Linked DNA regions of Nothobranchius furzeri. The protein of the gene in region 1 purifies or fractionates together with the protein of each later gene. This does not show direct contact. Links are inferred from orthologs where the notes say so. Each region holds a gene or a part of one and is shown on either strand. Other genes may lie near its edges.

Evidence for each region. Proteins that work in one complex are often made in the same cells at the same time.
Region 2: the proteins of vars1 (region 1) and eef1g purify together in Homo sapiens (affinity purification with mass spectrometry; 6 studies listed by BioGRID and IntAct, counting the BioPlex papers as one, with this or other methods). This does not show direct contact. The link is inferred for Nothobranchius furzeri from reciprocal best matches to the Homo sapiens genes VARS1 and EEF1G.

The regions. Positions count from the first base shown.
Region 1 is NC_091745.1:74,530,188-74,534,741, reverse strand, and holds part of vars1 (valine--tRNA ligase), read right to left. Parts: intron 1,872-4,554; coding exon 1,713-1,871; intron 268-1,712; coding exon 177-267; intron 79-176; coding exon 1-78. UniProt on the Homo sapiens protein: Catalyzes the attachment of valine to tRNA(Val).
Region 2 is NC_091741.1:90,855,333-90,859,886, reverse strand, and holds part of eef1g (elongation factor 1-gamma), read left to right. Parts: intron 1-295; coding exon 296-439; intron 440-524; coding exon 525-654; intron 655-885; coding exon 886-1,090; intron 1,091-1,613; coding exon 1,614-1,786; intron 1,787-3,553; coding exon 3,554-3,678; intron 3,679-4,554. UniProt on the Homo sapiens protein: Probably plays a role in anchoring the complex to other cellular components.

The DNA of each region.
Region 1 (4,554 bases):
CACGTTAAAGCGTCTCGCAGCTTTTTCTCTGGCCTCCTCCTCTGATCTCCCGCTCACCCAGTAATGACCATCCGTGTCCTGGAGAGCAGATGAGGAAACAAATCAAAGTCTGAGCTATGATGCAAATCGTTCTTTTACACATCAGGCCTCGACTTCAGTGACGGGGATCAACTCGCCTCGCCGGGTTTCACAGAAGGATCGCCGACGGTGATGAAGTAAGCAGGAATACGGTGACCCCACCACAGCTGGCGAGAGATGCACCAGTCTCTATACAAGGATGAAGAATGGGGAACATTTAAAAACGACACTCATTTAGATGTTTAGAGGCCAAAAGTAAACAATTAGTGAGCATAACAGAAACTTAAATATCAAATCAATCATTTTGTTCTTTAATTCTAGTAAGAAAACAACAAATTTATATCTAATTGTGATTTATGCCCCCTATATAACAACATTACATACATGAATGCTTTCTCAAACAAAAATGTTCTAAAAACATCACTTTGTGTTACAATATTAAAGGGACTTAACGGAGTTTTGAATTTTTACGCTCGCGATTCCCCCCCTCAGGCCAAAAACATAACGACAGCTTCAATGGTAGGCTCGTGCACGAGGCGCGCATGCTGTACGTGCACACTCCTTAACGAAAATAACAGCTGAGACAGTCCCTTGTGTGAGTGTGTGTGTGTGTGTGTGTGTGTGTGAGTGTGTGTGTGTGTGTGTGTGTGTGAGTGTGTGTGTGTGTGTGTGGCCCAGAGGACAGGAGAACGTGCAGCTAATTAATTAAATAATTTGGTTCTGTACCTTTCTCTTCAGCACAGCCGACAAAGGTTTATGATGGGTCAGTCCTCCTGCATGCTCAGATCATTCCCTTCCCTTGCTTGAAAAATTGTTCCAAAATGAAAGTTGAACCCACATCTTTTTTATCTGTGAATTCAATGCCGTTCGGCGAGTCTCAAATAAAAATTTGGGCATCTTATTATTGTAAAAAAATATACCATTAATGTAAAAAAGGAACTCTAAATAAGCTATGTTCACACCCAGAATCGAACCCAGGACTTCTGCACGAGAGTCCGGCGTGTTACTAGGTGAGCTAAAGCATCAGTAACGTCCTTTGTATCTGTAACATTTATATCCTTGATGACAGCTGAAACAACGTTCAAAAAAACGATTTGGAGCGAAAATGGCTATTTTGTTGCTAATTTGCAGGAAATATCTAGAAGAAAGTAGCTAAGGGTCCTCAGAAATGTAGCTAGGTTCGTCACTAGGCGTTAGGAGTTGGCACCATCGACTGCCTCTCTCTCTGCTGCTAAAGCTACGGATAGCAAATGCTACGGGCTATGCCTGAGCGTGAACGTGCATGAAGCAGCCTGCTCGACCCGAGCATCTCTCTTTTTCTGTGATTTTACAGAAAAACAGGCAATCACAGTAAAAATGCCAGGGCTCATTCTACAGGACCAGGGCATTGCAGGAGAATGTATGAAGAAGAAATTTATTATTTCTATTCATGTTTTGGCTGTCAAACTTCCATAATGTCCCTTTAATACAAATTTTATTTTCACATAAATTTTCTAAAACTTGGAAAATACTTCCTATTACTACAACAAAAACTTGAAGCGTAAATATTTTAATAGCATCAGGAATCTTAAGTCCTTTGCTTTAAATTACCAACAAGTAAAAGGTCAACAAAAGAGATGAAAGGGGACGGGGACCTGATGTTGTCCATCCAGTTGAACCACGTCTTGAGGTGGTGGTCGGGGATGATTTTGAGCTTGCCCTCTCTGACGACATCTGCGGCCTGCTTACCCATTTCGGAGCAGTTCACGTACCACTGTGGCTTCAGCAGCGGCTCCACAATGTCCTTGGAACGACTGTTGGAGCAGAAACACGGATAAGCTTTATGTCTCAAACACATGCACCGAGTTCCATTTCTATGGATCTAGGATACAGACTTTGGTGCTTAAAACTCGTGTGTTTTGTGACACGTAACTTTGAGATGCGTATTTTGAGACTTGTGCTTAGAAACTTTTAATATCCGTAAGTCACTAAATGAAAGTTAAAGTATTTGACAAGCAATTAAAAATTGCACCCACATTTTCAAAGTTAACACACATTTCTTTTAATAATGGAAGTTTTTGCATCTTTACTGTTCCCCTGCTTCAGCCCTTTCCCCCCTTCCCCCGCACAGTGGCTGCATGGGTTTGAGGTTTGAAGGAGATCTGAACTGTATCATATATATGTATAAATGGTATCGAATGTATAAATATTACATGCTTATAAATTTTTCTTTTCAAACACTTTTCTGTCCTGTCTCTGTCTATTATCTTCCTGCAACCCCTCTCAATCCTAAAGAAAAACTGCTACCTGGCTTCATATATTTTCACCTCATGAGTTACCTTTGAACTAAAGTTCAAAAAGATTTTCCGACCGCAAAAATAGCGGAGTGTGTGCCGGCCGCAGCAGAGAAGTCACCAGAGAACAAAACCGGTGATGCGCTCCGCTCCGCAGCAGTGAAACGCATCAGGCACAAATTAAAGACAGAAAGCATAAAAGGAAGTGAGCAAACATTAACGGCCATGTGTTAAATATTTTTTGAGGTGACGACACTTTGAGAATGTTAATGTGGCCGTGCTCAGGACGCATCTGTCTGCGATCAGAGCTCTGCGCCTCTCAGCTCAAAATAATCTCCGGAGAGTCCACATAGATAATATAAGTAAAACCAGGATCTTTTTCATGCTACCCCATGGTGTGTAGGATGAGGGCCTCCAGGGGAGCCCGTCACCCTTTCGGGTGAGCCGGGCTCCCTTTAGCTCACCCGTAATTTGAACCCTGCGTATAACACAAGTTGGTCGTGTGAGTTGCCAGAACGGTCCTTTCAAAATAAGACAGTTCCCGGATCTTGTTCCGGCAAGATCTGGCTCAAATTAACCCCTGCTACTAAGCTAAAGTCAAATGCTACTAAGCTAAAGTCAAATGCTACTAAGCTAAAGTGAAATACTACCAAGCTAAAGTGAAATGCTACCAAGCAAAAGTCAAATGCTACCAAGCGAAAGTCAAATGCTACCAAGCGAAAGTCAAATGCTACCAAGAGAAAGTCAAATGCTACTAAGCGAAAGTCAAATGCTGCTAAGCGAAAGTGAAATGCTACTAAGCTAAAGTGAAATGCTACTAAGCTAAAGTGAAATACTACCAAGCTAAAGTCAAATGCTACCAAGCGAAAGTCAAATGCTACCAAGCGAAAGTCAAATGCTACCAAGCGAAAGTCAAATGCTACCAAGCGAAAGTCAAATGCTACCAAGCGAAAGTCAAATGCTACCAAGCGAAAGTCAAATGCTACCAAGCGAAAGTCAAATGCTACCAAGAGAAAGTCAAATGCTACTAAGCGAAAGTCAAATGCTGCTAAGCGAAAGTGAAATGCTACTAAGCTAAAGTGAAATGCTACTAAGCTAAAGTGAAATACTACCAAGCGAAAGTCAAATGCTACCAAGCGAAAGTCAAATGCTACCAAGCGAAAGTCAAATGCTACCAAGCGAAAGTCAAATGCTACCAAGAGAAAGTCAAATGCTACTAAGCGAAAGTCAAATGCTGCTAAGCGAAAGTGAAATGCTACTAAGCTAAAGTCAAATGCTACTAAGCTAAAGTGAAATACTACCAAGCTAAAGTCAAATGCTACCAAGCAAAAGTCAAATGCTACCAAGCGAAAGTCAAATGCTACCAAGCGAAAGTCAAATGCTGCTAAGCGAAAGTGAAATGCTACTAAGCTAAAGTGAAATGCTACTAAGCTAAAGTGAAATGCTACTAAGCGAAAGTGAAATGCTACTAAGCTAAAGTGAAATGCTACTAAGCTAAAGTGAAATGCTACTAAGCGAAAGTGAAATGCTACTAAGCGAAAGTGAAATGCTACTAAGCGAAAGTGAAATGCTACTAAGCGAAAGTGAAATGCTACTAAGCGAAAGTGAAATGCTACTAAGCTAAAGTGAAATGCTACTAAGCTAAAGTGAAATGCTACTAAGCAATAGTGAAATGCTACTAAGCTAAAGTGAAATGCTACTAAGCGAAAGTGAAATGCTACTAAGCGAAAGTGAAATGCTACTAAGCTAAAGTGAAATGCTACAAAGCGAAAGTCAAATGCTACTAAGCTAAAGTCAAATGCTACTAAGCTAAAGTCAAATGCTACTAAGCTAAAGTGAAATGCTACCAAGCTAAAGTGAAATGCTATCAAGCGAAAGTCAAATGCTACCAAGCGAAAGTCAAATGCTACCAAGCGAAAGTCAAATGCTGCTAAGCGAAAGTCAAATGCTACTAAGCTAAAGTGAAATGCTACTAAGCTAAAGTGAAATGCTACTAAGCTAAAGTGAAATGCTACTAAGCTAAAGTGAAATGCTACTAAGCTAAAGTTAAATGCTACTAAGCTAAAGTTAAAAGCTACTAAAGTTAAATGGTAAATGCTTATTGGTCTTGTTCGTACACAATCAGTCATCCACCCAGTCACAGGCTGGTGATGAGCTACAATGCAGCCACAGCTGCCCTCGGGCACACTGATGGAAGCGAGAC
Region 2 (4,554 bases), on another chromosome or scaffold:
CCTCACGTGGAACGAGCAAAATATCAAACACTCCAGGAGTCCATGCAAGCTCATGATTGCTGATCGGTAGCTGGTCACGTGGTGTTGATCGCCTCTCGTAACCCCCTTTACACTACACGACGACCAGCGCAACACTCGCCCCGATCTTGTGGATTCTCGCACGAGTGGAAAATCTGCTCAAAAAAGTGAAAAAGTCGCAGTGTACGCCCGGCTTAAGCTGCAGGCTGGAGTTTATCATATTTGACTCCAGTGGTTTGTTTTTGCCTAAAGTTAACTGTCTCTTTGGTCCATACAGGCAACTGAGCAGGCCAAGGAGGACATCAAGAAGGTCCTCGGGTTGCTGAACCAACATCTGAACACCCGCACGTTCCTTGTAGGGGAGCGCGTCAGCCTAGCAGACATAACTGTGGCCTGCTCCATGGTCTGGCTCTACAAACAGGTTTGATGTTCACAAAGCACCCAATCACACACTCCTGATCTCTAATATTTAATTCGGGAAGAGCTGAAACCTCTCTGCTCTGTAGGTCTTGGAACCTTCCTTCCGTCAGCCATATCCCAACGTGACCCGCTGGTTTGTCACCTGTGTAAACCAGCCCCAGTTCAAGGCAGTTCTCGGAGAAGTCAAGCTGTGTGAGAAGATGGCTCAGTTTGATGGTGAGTCCTCAACAGTGAGTTCAGAATAAACTCGTAATCAAAGGATGTCAGAAGGACCTGCACTGCGAGTTGAAACTTAACGCAGATATCAGTTTGGTCTTACAGATCTGTAGTATGACTTAAGATGTTCTTATTTGTCCAGTCAAAATAAATCACTAATAGTCTACCGTCCTTGTTCATAGATGGTTGTAAATAACTGATTTAAGAGTAGATAACTGTTCTTCTGACTAGCTAAGAAGTTTGCTGAGATGCAGCCAAAGAAAGAGGCCCCCGCCAAGAAGGAAAAGGCAGCGAAGGAGGCAGCCAAACCCCAGGAGAAGAAAGAAAAGAAAAAGGAGGAGAAGAAGCCTGATCCTGAGGAGGAGATGGATGACTGTGATGCTGTTTTGGCTGCAGAGCCCAAAGCAAAGGATCCCTTTGCACATCTGCCAAAGAGGTAAAGATTTGTAGTGAGCAGCGCCATCAGAAGTTCTAGTTTTACATATGGGTGGTGTATTACAGAAATGTGCTTAGTTTAATTGGATGCATATATTAATCTGAAAATGTCTATGGAATCTAGTGCATTTTGGGTATTTGATGTGTTATTGAGTCTTTGATTCATAGACTGACAGTTTTAAAACAAAGTAGTTAATTTCAGGTGATGAATGTCCCCTGTCTTTGGGCAAGGCGGTGTCCATTCATGACACAAAGTCTTAATCTGACAGGGGAAGAGAATGAGGGCCATATTCATCCCAGTCATCTCTGTTTTAGTGAGAATAAAGGCTGGTTCATAGTGAGCCCACATTTCTCCTTGATCTCAAGAGCAGCTCGACTTATGGAGGAGCTGAAAATAAATTCAGAAGATGGTGAAAAGGAGATCTTTAGAAACGCTAATGATGGAAAGGAAACTAAAACCTAAACACATTAATCCTCTCCAACAGCACATTTGTGACCTGTTATATATACATATTTTTCTGTAGCTCATTTGTCATGGACGAGTTCAAAAGAAAATATTCCAACGAGGACACCTTGACAGTAGCTCTTCCCCACTTCTGGGACAACTTTGACCGTGAGGGGTATTCCATCTGGTATTGTGTTTACAAATACCCAGAAGAACTCACACTTACCTTCAAGAGCTGCAACCTCATCACAGGTGAGTCAGATGGGCTGATTGTATGCGTTGGTGTAATGTGAAGATTAGGACTGCAGATAATGATTATTTTAATCTATTCTTATGCCACGGTAATAAGACAGTAGTAATCAATCAATTCATCAGATAAGCCTTTCTGTTTCCTTTGCTTTGGAAATCTGGTACCAACGTAACAGAGCAGTACTAGTTGTGGGAAAAACTAGCCAATAACCAGATTATTTCTATAACAGAGTTTATTGCATTCAGCTCTTTTTCATTTGCTGCCTGTTGACTCTGATGCATGTTCAGCTGAGGATGGATTTAGCCACTCTGGCAATTGAAGCCCATTCCTGAAACAAAAGAAATTTAGTTTACCTGCAAACAATGGTGATTGTTTTATCAACAAGACTAAATAAACTACAGAATAGTAAATGTCCATTTGATCACAAGTCTGATTTTGTCTTTTGTTTTATTTTTATTTTTTTGTTCTTTTCTAAAACTGCTGCGTTCCAAACAAATGACTGGAAATTAAAAACATGCATGGGGTACTTAAAAAAAAGCTGACAAGCACATTTTAGTCTCATGCTGCCTTACATTAAAGCACAGAGGGGAAAAAATAACGCACTTCTTTGCTTTTAGTGGTAGCTCCCGTTAGCGTAGCTGGAGATGCACCATTCATCTTCATTTAAACTAAATCACACACCTTGTCTCAGATCTGCAGCTGATGCCTAAAAGCACCTGGATGCTGTGTGCTGTGATCCTGATTCCTGGGATGTGGAAGTTGTGCTGTTGTGAACTGCTAAAATTGTGCTAAGCTAGCGATCTTGTCCCATCAGCTTGAGTTTGAATAGTCCTACACTTTTGACATTTTCTCTGGATGTCTTCATTCCTTTTGCATTCACCCTGTTGCCTGCTCTTCTGTTTGATCTGTTGCAGAACAAGCATGCTTGTTTAATAACCGAAAGGTCACACTGGAAGGAGATTGTATAACCCAGAAGTAATAATTGTCGATTCTAAAAGGAAAAAAAAAATTATATATGTATATATTTTTTTTTCTTCTTTTTTTTCAACACTTTTTATTATTACTTCTGAGTTATACAATTTATATTTTTTTACAATTTTGTTTTGCAATCAATTCAATCGAATTTGAATATTTGTTTCAGCCTGAGTGAAGATATAAAGACATGATTGATTCTTGTGATTTGCAGTTGTGCTGAAGTTAAGAATGGTGTTAAGTGCTGTACATAAAAGTGCTTTAGAAATCACTGGTTACTTGATTCCACTGTGGTTTACTGACTGCTTCTTTTAGCCTCAAGTTTAACATCATGAATGTCCTTTTTTATTCCACTAACCCAAGACCTATGGTGTTAAAAACAAAGTATTGTATTGTGCTCCATGGTTTCTGCCTGTCAATCCCAAGGTAGTTGCACTGTAGAACATTGTTTTATTCTAAAAATAATTCTGTAGGGTAGACATCTCCCCTGTCTTTGGGCAAGGCAGTGTCCTGTGATGGCACTACGTCTTAATCTGACGGGGAAAGAAAAAGTTGGCCCAAATTCATCCCAGCCATGTCTGATTCAGTGAGTTTAGGCTGGTTCATACTGTGGTCACATCAGGCCCAAATGCCTAAATGTGTAGTCTTATTAACTGCCCACTAGTTGTGGTAACAAATGTTGATCTGATTGACTGTTAACTGCTGCTTACATAAGCTTTTCACCGTTGCCCAGTAAATCTCAGACTTTATGTTGGTATTCACACTGGATTTACTGGATTTACCTGTGAATTTCACAGGTATGTTCCAACGCCTGGACAAACTGAGGAAGAACGCCTTCGCCAGTGTCATCTTGTTTGGCACCAACAATGACAGCAGCATCTCTGGTATCTGGGTCTTCAGAGGCCAGGATCTGGCCTTCACTGTAAGTAAATGACAGGGTGGAGATTACGATGTTGTGATTAAATTTCATCAATTGGACTCCAAATTAGGGCTGGGTGATATATCGATATTTTTAAAACATCGATAAAAAAAATTTAAACAAGATACAAGATGACTTATGTCAATAAAACTGGTCAAACTGCTATGCTAGGTATTAGCCGCTATGCTAGCGACATGTTGCGCCGTCTCTAAGCGATACAGTGTGTGTTCTCACAAGTTTGCTCAATCTGAGAGCCTTTGGGTAAATGTGCTGTTCTAAGTTTTGCATTTGGCGTCCTGGTTTTTCATTATTTGGGCACATTCAGCGCCAACGGGATTCTGTTTTTCTGTCCTGCTTGTGCGAAGCCAGAGAGACGAGCCAAACCCCTCCCTCCCCTGTGTAATCAGGAAACTTCTACGGATAGTCAGTGTGGCCAAACTACCTCAAACATATTGTAAGGGTTTGAATAGTAAATTATAGGGTTAACGTTTTATTTTGAAGGCGAACTCGACGGGGGAGAATTGTTCAAGTTCCGTTTTTTTCTCCGCTGTTTGCTATGCTAGTAAATACTTCTATTGAAAAAGTTAAAGTTTGTAAGGCGTGGGTTTTGGCGACAGTAGCCCGAAAATAATACTCATAAAAGAGCAACCAGAGACTCTTGAGTCATTACAGTATAATCGCTGATATGAGCCAATACTGTTAGATTCCAGCCATGTATGCCCTGATAACTAAATGATAAATGACCCGTACGTGTATATCGCCTCACAGAATAAGGACCCCAAAGTGCTTTACACTACAGTGTATCATTCATCCATTCACACACATTCACACACTGAGGGTGATGAGCTACGATGTAGCCACAGCTGCCCTGGGGTGCAC